Linked DNA regions of Sus scrofa. The protein of the gene in region 2 purifies or fractionates together with the protein of the main gene of each other region. This does not show direct contact. Links are inferred from orthologs where the notes say so. Each region holds a gene or a part of one and is shown on either strand. Other genes may lie near its edges.

Region 1 (8,132 bases), on a different chromosome or scaffold from region 2:
AAGTACTTAAAAGCAAATCCCACACATGATGTTATTTTTTCTTTCATTCTAGGACTGCATCTGCAGCATATGCAAGTTCCCAGGCTAGGGGTCAAATGGGAGCTGCAGCTGCCTGCCTATGCCACAGCCACAGCAATCCGAGCTGCATCTGCAACTTACACCAGAGCTGAGTGAGGCCAGGGATAGAACCTGCATCCTCATGGTAACTAGTTGGGTTAGTTACCGCTGAGCCACAATGGGAACTCCCAACATCATGTTATTTTAAACCCTACAAATTCAGTATGTATCTGCAAAAAGATTTTTTTTTTTTTTGCTTCTTAGGGCCACACCCACAGCATATGGAAGTTCCCAGGCTAGGGGTGGAATCAGTTGCAGTTGCCACAGCAACACTGGATCTGAGCTGCGTCTGACCTACACGAGAGCTCGTGCCAATGCCGAATACTTAACCCACTGAGCAAGACCAAGGATCAAACCCGAATTCTCATGGATACTGGTCCAGTTCATAACCGCTGAGCCACAATAGGAACGCCTGAATATTTTCTTGAGGAAACACAATGTTAGTTCATAACAAAGTTACCAAACCCATCCATTTGAAATTTCATGAATATCTAGAAATGTCTTCTTATGACTTAAAAAAAAATTAGGGGATCAGGCGTTGCTGTGAGCTGTGGTGTAGGTCGCAAATGTGGCTTGGATTCCGAATAGCTATGGCTGTGGTGTAGGCCAGCAGCTACAGCTCCGATTCAACCCATAGCCTGGGAACCTCCATATGCTGCTGACACAGCCCTAAAGAGACAAAAAAAAAAAAAAAAAAAAAAAAATTTTCCAAAAAGCACAATATTTTTAAGAACCTCAGGTGGACATTTACAAACAGAATGTGTCTAGAGTACAATAAGGAACATAGTAAAAGAAAAAGACTTGAAACTGCACCAAGTATGAAGTCAGATCAAGAAGAAGTTCCTAGAAGTCTATGAGACCAGGGGTCTAGAGAAAGTGGTAGATTAGGATTCGATGTAGATATTTCAGCATGCCAGAAACTATCCTAACTCCATTTCTAACATGTACCAGAAATCTGGTCGATTCTGCTGGGGGAGACCTGGAATCATCCCACTGAGCATCCCACAACTAGAGCAAGAGAATCATAAGATGCCCCATTCTTTGTCCACTTCCAACCCTCCCTTCCTCAGAGCAGCACGGGACATTCCAGACCCTCTCACCACTCCCACCCCCACCCCTCGCTCCTGTCACGAGGCCACAATCCCCCAGAGCCCTTTCATGTGATGCTCAGCTGAGACCCCTCTGCCTGACTTCCAGCCCCAGAACAAAAGCCTGTGTTTGCCCATGCCCATCCCAAAGAGGAAATGTGGTACCTCTTTACCCTCTATTCAATACCACATTCTCTTGTTCCTCGTTGGAAATACTCTATCTCAAGTGCCTGAGACATTGCCTAAAAGAGTCTCCCTCTCATTTTATCCCCTTGGATCCCCTGCTCCAGCTCACTGTCCACGGGTCTCAGAATTAGGGCCACAAAGACCCACTCTTCTCTTGCCCTTCCAAGCAGATGGGATTATTTTTAGGCTCAGTCCCAAATCTCCATGTGGAGAGAGAGTTCATGTGCCCATGTCCTCACTAAATCAAATGGGAGGGAGAAGTCTGAGGCATTGCTGGTATTTCCCATTAGGGAGGGGAAAAGCAGAGCAGGTGTGCAACCCCAAATTCACACTTGCTCATGTCTACACTCCCCATACTCACCTTCTGTGGCCCCCACAGCCAGAAAGGCACCCATCACAGCCACATGGAGAAGGCATTTTCTGAGCACCAGATCCATGGTATTCTTCCTTCCAGCAACCAAAGGCACTGGGGCAAAGGACAAGCCCCTATATAAGAAAGGGGTGCTCATTTGCATAGCCCTTCCCCCTTTCCCTCCAGAGGAGGCCTGGGAGGAGGAGGAGGACCTGAGAAAGGCAGAACTGGGGAGGGATCCTGGTCCCTGGACATCTTGCTACGCAGTGACAGTTTCTGGCTTCACAGGGTCACTCTCAACACTCCCCCGCCCAAAGAATTGACTGAAGGGCAGCAACATAGCATAACACGTACCCTACACACACAATCCATCATGGGAGAGTGGATCAATCTATTGTGAGTCAAACCAGAAACCTGTCAAAAAGACTGTAGAAACAGCAACCCTGCATCCAAAAACAGAGATTGTGTAGGATAGGCTGACAGAGGCAATGACTCCTCCGAGGTCCAGGAAACCCTTGCAAGGAGCTTCCCAGCTTCCTGCTTTTCAGAGAAGGTTCCCTGGGCTAGGTGGAATTTAATCTTAGATCAGTGCACATTTTCCTAAGGGTGGTGAAAACCCGGTTTAGATATTAGGAAATCCCTACAGACTCAAGGTACAGGTAGAAAACTCGAGCCCAAATCAAATACTAGGAACACGATATTTCACCTTCCCACCTAGGTTAAAACTTGACTTAATACACCTCAGAAACTTGCGCTGGGAAGGGTCGTTTGGGGCGTGGCGGAGCGCAGGACGGGCCCTTCCCACTCTGACGTTAACCAATAGGAAGATCTGGGGGCGGAGCCAGGGAAACGCGGGAAGGAGGGGCGGGGCTTCTGGTGGCGGTAGGGAACTGGCGGGGGGAGGCGGCAACATTGTTTCAAGTTGGACAAATTGACAAGAGCGAGAGATACGCTGCGTTCCATCCCGACCTGGGGCTGCCGTGCAGGGCCCTGTTTCCCCCTCCTCGGCCCCCGAGAGCTGGGTGCCGCTTTCTGCTGGGTTCCCAGGCCCCCGCTCCAGGGCCGGGCTGATTCGACTCGCTAGCGCTTCATGGAGAACTTCCAAAAAGTGGAAAAGATCGGAGAGGGCACGTACGGAGTTGTGTACAAAGCCAAAAACAAGGTGACGGGAGAAGTGGTGGCGCTTAAAAAAATCCGCCTGGACACGTGAGTGGCCTCTGTACCTGGGACTCCTCTAACTCCGGAGCTCCTTGAGTGCCCCCCACCCCCACCCCAACAGGCGGGTAGCCATCCAGGGACCGGAAGGTAGTAGGGAGGGACTTCTTTTGAAGTGGAGAGGTAGGTTGAAGGACAGTACAGGGTTTCCTTGTGGAGAATATAGGGTAGTGTAGAGTCCATGGGAAATTTCCTTTCCAAAGGCGGGTGATGCCCGAAAATGTACAGTCAGAAAGACTCGGGAAGAGGAAGGAGGCCTCTGATTTGGGGTCCAGGACTCCCCGTGGAGTTGGGTTTTGTAGAAAGCGGTAAAGAGCAACTTTTTGAATACGAACTTTCCTCGCTGTCTCAACCCCACCCTCATCTTAGAATTCTCTCCCCCTTTCAAAAGAATGGCAGTTGAAACTCACTGGCCCCTCTCGGAGGCTGGGTGCTGCTACTCCCCCCACCCCCACCTTTTTTCCCCCAGTTAACCTTCTTCACTTTCACCAAGAGGCTTTGCTAATCTACCCCTGGGAAAAGAAGAAATAATGACCTTAATGTGTCCAAAAGCCCTTCCTGTCCACCCATGAATTAATCCCTGACACCCCTTTTCTCTCATTTCCCTAGAGGATGCTGGGGTGGTGTCTCTGGTGGGGTCATGACTGGGCTGGGGAAAAAGGAATATTTGTAACCACATTCCCATCTGCTTTCCCAACTTCTCCAAGTGAGACGGAGGGTGTACCCAGTACTGCCATTCGAGAGATCTCTCTGCTTAAGGAGCTTAACCACCCTAATATTGTCAAGTAAGTATGCATCCGGGAGGTGCTCTGACAGTAAAGGAAGATGTGTTCTGTTTGTGTTATCTGGACATTTCTCTCCCTCACCTCTGTTCCTGGACATCCCCCCTTCCCTAGGTTGCTGGATGTCATTCACACAGAAAACAAACTCTACCTGGTTTTTGAGTTTCTGCACCAGGATCTCAAGAAATTCATGGATGCCTCTGCTCTCACTGGCATTCCTCTTCCCCTCATAAAGGTAATCCTTCTCATCAGTTCCTCCCCAACATGGGCATGTCTTGGGGGCACTTAAGACAGATAATTAAGACTGAGTGATGATTTGTGATCTTGGCTTCATTCCCAGCCGTCATCCCCCTATCATGCAAACACAATCACACATACCTTTTGTGTGTGTGTGTGTGTGTGGTGTGTGTGTGTGTGTGTGTATGGCTCTTTCACCGCTCATTATGCTTATTAACCCTAGGGCTGGGCAGAAGAATCAAAGTTGAAACTCTTGTGAGTCAATTTAGCAGCTCAGGTGGAAGGTGAGATGAAACTCAGATAAAAGGTGGAGTTCCCACCGTGGCTCAGTGGTTAACGAATCCAACTAGGAACCATGAGGTTTCGGGTTCGATCCCTGACCTTGCTCAGTGGGTTAAGGATCCGGCATTGCTGTGAGCTGTGGTGTAGGCCGCAGACGAGGTTTGGATCCCATGTTGCTGTGGCTCTGGCATAGGCCCATGGCTACAGCTCTGATTAGACCCCTAGCCTGGGAACCTCCATATGCCTTGGGAGCGGCCCTAGAAAAGGCAAAAAGACAAAACAAAAAACAAAAAACAACAAAACTCAGATAAATGGGACTGGAGAGCACTTGGTAAATTCTTTAAAAAAAAAAAAAAATTGGTGGGAGAAATAGCCAGTGAGTCTCTATTGTCTGTTTTGCTGGGTTCTTTACTCCTGGAGCTACTTTTAATCTATCAATAAACATTTATCCAACACATTTATTGAAGACCCTCAATGTGCTAGACACAGAATATGGAAAAGAGATGCAAAACTGAATAAGACAGGGAGTTCCCGTCATGGCTCAGCAGTTAATGAATCTGACTAGCATCCATGAGGATGCAGGTTCAATCCCTGGCCTCGTTCAGTGGGTTAAGGATCTGGCGTTGTCGTGAGCTATGGTGTAAGTCACAGATGTGGCTTGGATCCTGTGTTACTGTGCCTATGGCATAGGCTGGGAGCTACAGCTCCGATTTGACCCCCAGCCTGAGAACCTCCATATGCCGAGGGTGCAGCCCTAAAAAGCAACAAAACAAAACAAAAAACTGAATAAGACCTGATCCTTATCCTCACTGGGCTGATAGTCCAATGGGAGAAAGCATGTAAATGTTTAATTACAATCTAACATAATAAAGGCTTTAGTAGAAACTCTGGAGGCACAGAGCAGACCCTAATTTGCTCACTTTGGTGTAAAAACACAGTCCCTTCTCTCCCCTTGTCAGAGTTATCTGTTCCAGCTGCTTCAGGGGCTAGCTTTTTGCCATTCTCATCGGGTCTTGCACCGAGACCTTAAACCTCAGAATCTGCTTATCAACGCAGAAGGATCTATCAAGTTAGCAGACTTTGGACTGGCCAGAGCCTTTGGAGTCCCTGTTCGTACATACACCCATGAGGTGAGCTCCTCTCTGCATGTCTTCTCTGAATTTCTTGGGAGGTGAGGTGTTAACAGGGACATTCACAAAGTTACTAAAAATATCTGGCTAGCAGTTTCTCTATCACTAGATGGAAAGTTATCTCTGATGCCCCAAGAGGTCTTAGAGTATGCACAGACTTCATATTTTGATAGATACTAAGCTAGGAGAGCTGGATGGTACACCATTAAAATTATGACTGCTTGCCTCAAGTCTTCCAAGAAAGTTGTAAATTGAGGATTCAGAAAATTTGGGGTTCCAAGGACCATGGACTAGGCTACTCTAGGATAAGAGGCTGTCCCAGGAGTTCCCATCGTGGTGCAGCAGAAACAAATCCGACTAGGAACAATGAGGTTGCGGGTTTGATCCCTGGCCTTGCACAGTGGGTTGAGGATTTGGCATGACTGTGGCTGTGGTATAGGCCAGCAGCTGTAGCTCCGATTGGACCTCTAGCCTAGGAACCTCCATATGCCAAGGGTGTGGCCCTAAAAAGCAAAAACAAACAGACAAGAAGCTGTCCCGGTTATTAGAGGACATCAGAGGGAAGGAAAGGATGGAGGAAAAAAAGCTTCTTTTAAGAGGCTGAGAGTCAGCAGCGTAGTGTCGAGGAGCTGAGATGTTGGAATCTCCATGCCCCATATACTATCCTTCCCCTCCCTACTCTTGTCCCCAGGTGGTGACTTTGTGGTACAGAGCACCTGAAATCCTTCTGGGCTGCAAATACTACTCTACAGCCGTGGACATCTGGAGCCTGGGCTGCATCTTTGCTGAGATGGTATGCAGGCATGCCCGAGTTCCACCTGGCCCACTCCTCCCCACATTCAGGAACGACAGTACTGTTTCTTGGCCCAGGCTCATGGTCCTTCTCTCATCACAGGATCCCTCCTCTAGAGTAGCACAAAGGAGGTTGGTAGGGAAAGAATAGGACTGTCATCCTCAATGTCTGCCACAGTGTTAGGCTAGCCTCAATCAGCCCTAGCAGCCAGCATTCATGTCTTATCTCCAAACTGAGCTAAATCATTTCTGCAGCCATTTTAGCTTCAGCCTGCTTATATTTGGGAAAATGAGTTCCTTTTAGCATCTCCTTTATTTGGCCTGTAGACCTTACTGTAGGGCACTAGGAACACAGTGGTGAGGCCAACGGTGTTCGCTGTATTCACAACTCTTCTTTAAACTGCAGGCTTAGATCATACCCCCCCTCAACCTCTGGCTTTTCAGATTGAAGGATCCCTAAGGCCCAGTCTTGTAAGGGAGCTCTCATCCCCTTTAATGCAACAGTGGAGTGAGCTGAGTTTTCAAATCAAATCAGCCATATGTTTTATGGTCCCTTATCTGGGTTGTAACTGGGGGCTTGGAGACCATTAGCCTATATATATATATATATACATACATATAATGTGCATTTATCCCCCAGTACATTATCTTACAATTGCCCATATTCGTCTCTCAATTCATCAAAAAATATTTGTTAAGCACCTAGTATGTACCCAGCACCATGCTAGGTGCTGTGGGGAACACAGAAGAAATGGAAGACACAGTCTCTGCCCGCTGTGCTCCTATCTAGAAGTGGCTGCATCACAAGGAGGGGGGATGACCGCAGTGTCTACCCCACACCCCGTGAGTGGCTTGGGATCCCTTTGCTACATGTCAGTGGCACCCCAGACATTCACCCCCTCCCAGCCCCACCCAGCCTTGGGGATCTGCAAAGCCATGGTTGGGGGAAGGAAGGAGGGGGCAAGGAGACAGATGAAGGGACTTCATTGTCTCAGGCTCTGTGTGACTGACCCCATGAAAGACCCTGGGGAGGGAGTCATGGGGCCCTGCTGAACTTCCACTGCCTGTGGGAACCTCCATTATCCAATGGGCAGTTGTGACTGACGTCAATGTGGGTCTCGGCCTTTCCTCTTTCCCCATTTTCAGGTGACCCGCCGGGCTCTGTTCCCTGGAGATTCTGAGATTGACCAGCTCTTCCGGATCTTTCGGACTCTTGGGACCCCAGATGAGGTGGTTTGGCCAGGAGTTACTTCCATGCCTGATTATAAACCGAGTTTCCCTAAGTGGGCCAGGCAAGATTTTAGCAAAGTTGTGCCTCCCCTGGATGAAGATGGACGGAGCTTGTTATCGGTGAGAGTGGGGAGTGGGCACCCATTTCCTCTCATTTACTCCCCCAGGGCTGGGTTTTTCCAGGGTGAAGGAAGAATGAGGCCCTGGACTCCTGGTCTCAGCGTTTCCCTAGCTTGTGCTTCCCTATGGCTGTTGGCGCACCTGTTAGATATAGGGAGGGAGGAAATGGGAACTCTACCTTGGGTGAAAGGAATTGTTTTCCCAATTTCTCAAGATACCTGCTGCCCATTTAGTCCATTATCACGTTACTGAACTCAGCATACATCTCTCCCTCCAGCAAATGCTGCACTACGACCCCAACAAGCGGATTTCAGCAAAGGCAGCTCTGGCTCACCCTTTCTTCCAGGATGTGACCAAGCCAGTACCTCACCTTCGACTTTGATGGCCTTTGTGAACCCTACCCCTCGTCTCACCCTCTCCTCCAGTGGGGGCCTGATCTGGCTTGGCCCAGGGCTTTTAGCCCACTGTTCTTGTCTGGCTGCCTTAGCACTCACCTGCTCCTCTCAGCCAGCCAACTTTGGAGAAACAGGGGGTAGAGGGGAGCAATAGGTGAAATTGAAAGGAAGCTTCAGTATTAGATGCACTTAAGTCAGCCTCCACC
Region 2 (6,652 bases):
GACCCAGCTGTTTCACTTTTAGGCATTTACTCAAGGGAAATAAAAGCATATATCCACACAAAGACCTGTGTATACGGATTCATAGCAGTTTTCATTGTAACAACCAAAACTAGAAACAATCAAATGTTCGTTAACAAATTGTGAATTGATAAGCAAATTATGGGGTGTGCTCATGTGCGTGCGTGCGCACATGCGTGATAGAATACTTCTCAGCAATAAGAAGGAAAATTGCAGATGGAGCGCAGAATAATTATTCTGAGTGTAAAAAGCCAGACAGAAGTACATTCTTTTAATTCCATTTCTATGGACATCTAGGAAAAGGACAGCAATTTAGTGTCAGAAAGCAAATCAGTGATTGCCTGGGGTGGGCTGGCAGGTGGGAAGGAGGGGAGGGATGACAAAGGGGCTTGAGGAGACTTTGGGGGGTGATGGATTTGTTCATTATCTTAATCATAATAATGGTTTTACAGGGGTATACGTGTCAAAACAAAAATGTGCATTTTAGGAGTTCCGTCGTGGCTCAGCGGTGAACAAACCCGACTAAGATCCATGAGGACTTGGGTTTGATTCCTGGCCTTGCTCAGTGGGTTAGGGATCTGGCATTGCTGTGGCTGTGGTGTAGGGCAATGGCTACAGCTCCAATTCCACCTTTAGCCTGGGCATTCCATATGCCATGGGGCAGCCAGAAAAGAAAAAAAAAAAAAATGCCAAGTGACCCACACTCTTGTCTAACCCAAGTACAAATTTGGAGGTGCCCTCCACCCCCTTCTCAGGCTTGACAATTCAGTATTAGACTTCAGAACACAGGAAAGCTCTTTACTTACTGTTTCCATTTTATTGTAAAGGCTACAACTCAGGAGCAATCAAATGGAAGAGATTCTTGGGGCAGGGCCTGGGGGGAGGGGTGCAGAGCTCCCCAAAATCGCCCTCTAAAACTCCAAAGATCCCTGCCCCACCCCTCCTGGAGGAAGTGGGGAAGCTTAAAGTTCCCAGCTCCTGGATCAGTTTTCCGGGTGACAGCCCCCACCCTGAGTGGCCTCATTAGCATAAACTCTGAGATCCCGAGGCGCTCATTATGAATAACAGAAGACACTCCTAGACCTCCGGAAATTCCAAGGGTTTTGGGAACTCCGTGCCAGGAACCAGGGACAAAGACCAAATATATATAAGTATATGTATATGTCTTTTTTATTGTTACACATTCAGTTATGTCGGTTTAGATTCTCTTTCTGGAAGGACATAAGTTAGTACTTGCGTTGCTTCTAGGGAGGGGAACCGGGTGGCCGGGAGTCAGGAGTAGGAGGGGACTCCTCGTACAAAATTCACAATATACACGTGAATAGATTACCTATTTGAAAAGCTCTTAAAAACACTTTACAGTCCTTGCCTTGGCCTCTAAGGTGTGCAATCTCTAGGCTTTACTTCCGTGGTTCTGGGGAGCAGGCAGGGGAATCACTGTCCAGACGCCGGGGCTACCTGACCCTTTCGACCTCTCGTCTTCAGTTGTGGCCACTCCCCATACAAACCCGCCCCTCTAGCCTTTCTCTGGGCAGCCTTTCCTCTACTACCGGTAACACCCACATCTGAGCTCTATTCCTGAGTCGAGTAGTTCTACACCCTCCAAGGATTAGCTCATTCAAACCTCCGACCTCCCTTTTAGTGTAATCCCCATTGGACTGATAAAGCCATCCCTGTAGAGGAGATTAAGTGACAGCTAAAAGTCTCACAGAAACCTGAACTTTGAATATCAGCTGTCTGGCACCAGAGACTAAGTCTTTTTCTTTTTTTTTCCACATCTTTTTAGGGCCACACCTGCGGCATATGGAGGTTCCCAGACTAGGGGTCGAGTCTGAACTGTAGCCACTGGCTTATGCCACAGCCACATCAACTCAGGATCTGAGCCACAGCTCACGGCAACACCAGATCCTTAACTCACTGAACGAGGCCAGGGCACGAACCCGTGTCCTCATGGATGCTAGTCAGATTTGTTTCCGCTGAGCCACGATGGGAACTCCAACCAGAGACTAAGTTTTAATCACCACTCCAGACTGCCTTTCAAGAATCCTGTGCCTCATCTCTGCCACCCCAGCATGGGCACTCTTGACCTTGTTCAAGGCCCAATGCAAATGCCAGCTCTTCTGGAGGTCTTCCTGCTCCCTGGTTAATGAACTACTTACTTGGGGTGGGGGACTTGGTATTATAATAATCCCATCATATTTGATTGTAGCCCAGAGCAAGCACTAAGGTTCTTCCTAAATAGACCTGGCCCTGCAGGCTTTTCTAGACTGACTGTGGAGCCATTCTCCTTGTGAGGTTTTTTGGTCCAGCAGGCTCCAGGCCCTCTTCTGCGTATACCTCATCTCATTTTGTGCCATCTACACTGTGTGAATCCAGCATCCACATGGGTATTAAAGAGGGAGATGGAGGCTCAGAATGACTGGTCACCAGTGGGAGGGGAAGAGCTCTCACAGGGCCTGTGTTCATGGGTCTCAACCACGGGTAGCTGAACCTGGTAGACCCCCTCTCCCCATAACTCCCTATGCCCACCCTGGGCTGAGGACCCAGACCAGGGCCTGAGCCTAAGCACAGCTGGTGTCCTGTGGACATGAGTTTATTAGAGGAGCCAGGTCACAGTGGGTACAGGTGGCAGGTTGGGAGGAGAGGGCCGCGGAGCATGGGCAGTCCTGCCAGCCTGAGGCCAAGAAGACTGGAGGAGGCTGGGGCGCGGGGCCACGGCCAGTAGAACATCAGGTCAGCAGGCTGTTCTTCACCCTTGGAGTGTCAGCGCCGAGGGCACAGCAGCGGCTTTGAGAGGACTGGGGGGGAGAAGGGCAGAGGCTCAGAGGACGCTTGCCAAGCTCACATGCTAGGAGGTGGCAGAGCTGGGTCACGTGCCCAGGCCTGCTGGACCCCGGGCCCCATGTCCCTCCTTCCCATTCTGTTGGGCCCCACACCTGCCTCCCAGCTCCCAGCCCCAGCTCACTGCGGAGGGTGTAGGTGCCTGGCTCCAGTCGCAGCTGGGTGGGCAGGACAATGAGGAAGCCCCCGCCCCATTGGTCTTCAGCCACTGAGACGCTAGCTTGGAAGGGAGGGCGGCGCTGCCCAGGGTTTGGGGAAGGGCATTTGGATGAGACAGGCAAGGGGCGGGACTGGTGGCAGCAGTGGTGGGGGGGGTGGCAGCAGTGGCTGCATTGAGGAGGCACGCCACAGAGGGGACAGTGGGGTGGTGAGAGGCCTGGGCCCCGGGGGAGGGGGATCTGGGCCTTCGGGTAGCTCCTTTGAGCCCTGCCGTGGTGGGGGCGCCGCTCCCGTGTCCAGGCCCAGTGGGTTGGCTCCTTGGTCATGACCTGGCATGAGAAGAATGGATGGTAAATGGGAGGGGGGAGGTCCAGCCTCTTTGCCCCACCCCAGGATGCTGGCAGGGCCTCACCTCCTCGCAGCTCTGGCGGCTCACAAAGGCCCTGAAGCCCATGCGTGCCCACAGCTTGGTCCTTTGCTGCAGGAAGTATGACACTCGATGATGCCAATCTCGGCCCAGGGCCCAGGGAAAAATCACACATTTGGGGTCCTCCAGGTCTTCTTCCATGTCATTTGCAAGGTACCTGGCCGCAGTGTGAACAGAGGCCGTAAGCATCTGTTCTGCCCCACCCTACAAATTCTGGGTGAATGACCCCACCTGGTGCCCAGGCCACTCACAGTGCCAGGAACAGATTGCTGAGGGTGTACTCGCTGAGCTTCAGGTTGGCACGTCGGAAGTAGACCAGCACCATGGCCAGGAGATACTGCAGATGCAGAAATGGGGAGAGTTAGGAGTTCCCTTTGTGGCTCAGTGGTTAACCAATCCGACTAGGAACCATGAGGTTGCGGGTTCGATCCCTGGCCTTGCTCAATGGGTTAAGGATCCAGCATTGTCGTAAGCTGTGGTGTAGGTCGCAGACGCAGCTTGGATCTGGCATTGCTGTGGCCTCTGGCGCAGGCCGGCAGCTGTAGCTCCGATTAGACCCCTAGCCTGGGAACCTCCATATGCCTCGGGTGCAGCCCTGGAAAAGACAAAAACAAAGACAACATAAAAGGGTAATAATTTTCTGCTGGGCACATAGGTTGGGGTCAGTTTGAAGCTTAATTGGAAAACTGGCAAAACTATAGAAGAGAAATTCAAAAAAAAAAGAAAGAAAGAAGGAAATGGGAAGAGTTAGAGTTAGGCCCTGGGGGTGGGGGTGTGCCAGGCCTGTCTGCACCCAAGGGAGTTCTGGGGAGGGGGGGAGAGAAAATCCAGGTTAAATGGTGGGAAGGAGCCTGTAAAGACAAGGGTTTAAAAGGGAGGCGCTCCCCCTCCAGACCAGGGGATCCAATGAATTAGCAGCACTCAAGCCCCACTGATTCCAGCTTCCCCCAAGGACGCCTGGCCTCTACCCGCCCTGTGGCCTCTCACCTTATCTGAAATCTGGAAACAGGGATCTTTGGAGAGGAAATCCTGGAGGTAACTGTGCTCTGGGGGTAGAGAAGAGGAAAGTGGCTGGGGGTTGCCATCCACCCCCAACAGGACAAGAGTGGCATCAGAAGTGGCAAAGCCCAAGCCTCCACTTTCCGACCTGACACCATCCCTCCACCTGCCAAACCAGGTCACGGCTGAGAAGGGAAGGGACAGAGACTGTTCACCCTCGGTCCCCACCACCCCTTCGCCGCTGGCCCCCAAGTGGACTCACCCAGAAGGCTGAGGAAGGCCTGGAGTTGCTGGTGCTGGTGGAAATGGAAAGACTCTCTGCCCTCATCTTGACTGCTCCGGCCCCTCAGCTTCACCTGGGTGCCAACCGCAGGGACAGGGACTGTGGCAGGATCTTGGGCGTCACTCATCTCATGAGTCGGGGAGTGGGGAGGTGGGGGGAGGCAGAGTGACCTGTAGAGAAAGCACCCCAGGACGTAGCACCTACCCTATTGCCCCTCACCAGTCAAGAGCATCAGTGTGGCTGGCCTGACAGAGGGCCTCCAGAAAGTGGAGGGACGGGCACAGAGGACTGGGGGTTCAGAGCAGAAGGGAAGTGAGATGGGGGAGGTCAGAAAAGCAGAATTCCTGGAGGCTGCAGCAGACTGTCCCCCCCCCGCTTCCTGGTACCCCAGACCAGCCCAAAGAGTAACAACAGCAGCAACAAGCCCGGCCTAAGTGCCTGGAGCTGTGTTAAATGCTTTAATGACATTATCTTATTTCATCCTGGCAGGTAGACTCATTTTGCAAACACAGAAGCTGAAGCATGGAGGTCTTAGGGCCACTTCAAGGCGGAGCCTGTCTGAGCCCCAAAGCCAAGGAGTAACAGCTTCTTTTGCCTCCCAACTCACAAGGAGGCGCCCTCTCCCCGGCTCCAAAGCCTCAGCCGCCAAAGAACTACCAACCTCTTGACTTCGCAGAGGGAAAATTGAGGCCTTGAGAGAGGAACGTTATTAAGCAAATACTGGGGTTGAGGGCAAGTTGAGGTAGGGCCACGGAAAACATTTTGAGCTACGAAGAGAGAGATGCCAACTATGGAACTCAGAGGACGGTCCCCTCCTCCACCCCTTGGTCAACCGGGGTGGGGGGCGCGCTCCATCTAAGTTCCCACAAGCAGCCCAGCTTGCCTTACCTGAGCTCAGGAGTTACCTACAGCGTTGCGTCCCAACCCAGCGAGTGTATTTATATAGCCCTAGAGCTGCCCCGCCCCCGGAGCGCTCCACCAATCAGGCGCCTTCTTGGGAAAGGGTGGGGCTTCTCGCCATCACCACCCACCTCTACTAGGAGTAAATCCAGTTAGTCTCCACCGCTTGCTTCCCAGCTGCAGCTCCGCAAGGTAAAAGCTTCTCCATAGTCTCATCACCTACAAGAGGGGTGAAGGCAGGCCAGCTGGACCCCAAGGCCCGAAAGGAGGCAGGGGCCCCTCTCTTCTCTTTACAAATTCAGAGCCAAGGTGCGGGCAGGGAAGGAGGACCGACCCAGGGCTGTAGGCAGTGGCTGATGAATAAGTTACAACTCAGTGATTGTGTCTTGCTGGGGAAGGGTCACTGGTGGTGTCTGTTTCAGATCCAGGAATCCCCAAACCTGGGAGCCAGAGTGAAAACTGTCTGCATAAGGACTCGTAGGGGCCGCATCTGCTCTCCAAGGTCCTTAGGTGTTTGGGGAGCCCTGCCAGTGGCTCCAGGTGGGGAAGGAAATCTGCTTCTGGTCCTGGCTGGGATGCCCAAGGACCACCCCAACCCCCCACCTCCCCACTCCCCCACCCTCCTCCCCCAGCTTCCACCCCCTCCAGCCCGCCGGCCCAGCCCTATCATAAGCCTTTTTATTTTATTTTATCTATTTATTTATTTATTTATTTGTCCTTTTGCCATATCTTGGGCCGCTTCCCGTGGCAGATGGGGGTTCCCAGGCTAGGAGTCTAATCGGAGCTGTAGCCGCTGGCCTACACCAGAGCCACAGCAACGCGGGATCCGAGCCGCGTCTGCAACCTACACCACAGTTCACGGCAAAGCCGGGTCCTTCACCCACTGAGCAAGGCCAGGGATCAAACCCACAACCTCATGGTTCCTAGTCGGATTCGTTTCTACTGCGCCACTACGGGAACTCCTTTTTTGTTTTTGTTTTTGTTTTTTTGTCTCCTACCTAGCTTAAGCCTTTTAATATTCACTG

Evidence for each region. The genes of interacting proteins can lie anywhere in the genome.
Region 1: the proteins of SPDYC (region 2) and CDK2 purify together in Homo sapiens (co-immunoprecipitation; 3 studies listed by BioGRID and IntAct, with this or other methods). This does not show direct contact. The link is inferred for Sus scrofa from reciprocal best matches to the Homo sapiens genes SPDYC and CDK2.

The regions. Positions count from the first base shown.
Region 1 is NC_010447.5:21,363,135-21,371,266, forward strand, and holds the start of CDK2 (cyclin-dependent kinase 2), read left to right. Parts: upstream 1-2,695; 5' UTR 2,696-2,833; coding exon 2,834-2,949; intron 2,950-3,665; coding exon 3,666-3,743; intron 3,744-3,854; coding exon 3,855-3,975; intron 3,976-5,218; coding exon 5,219-5,389; intron 5,390-6,080; coding exon 6,081-6,182; intron 6,183-6,880; coding exon of another isoform or gene 6,881-7,024; intron 7,025-7,327; coding exon 7,328-7,531; intron 7,532-7,808; coding exon 7,809-7,913; 3' UTR 7,914-8,132. Other genes in the region: melanocyte protein PMEL, read right to left, coding at 1,753-1,906. UniProt on the Homo sapiens protein: Serine/threonine-protein kinase involved in the control of the cell cycle; essential for meiosis, but dispensable for mitosis. Phosphorylates CABLES1, CTNNB1, CDK2AP2, ERCC6, NBN, USP37, p53/TP53, NPM1, CDK7, RB1, BRCA2, MYC, NPAT, EZH2.
Region 2 is NC_010444.4:7,028,987-7,035,638, forward strand, and holds the end of SPDYC (speedy protein C), read right to left. Parts: intron 5,847-6,652; 5' UTR 5,759-5,846; intron 5,209-5,758; exon of another isoform or gene 4,898-5,208; 5' UTR 4,855-4,897; coding exon 4,707-4,854; intron 4,492-4,706; coding exon 4,433-4,491; intron 3,783-4,432; coding exon 3,697-3,782; intron 3,603-3,696; coding exon 3,431-3,602; intron 3,348-3,430; coding exon 2,748-3,347; 3' UTR 1,895-2,747; downstream 1-1,894. UniProt on the Homo sapiens protein: Promotes progression through the cell cycle via binding and activation of CDK1 and CDK2. Involved in the spindle-assembly checkpoint. Required for recruitment of MAD2L1, BUBR1 and BUB1 to kinetochores.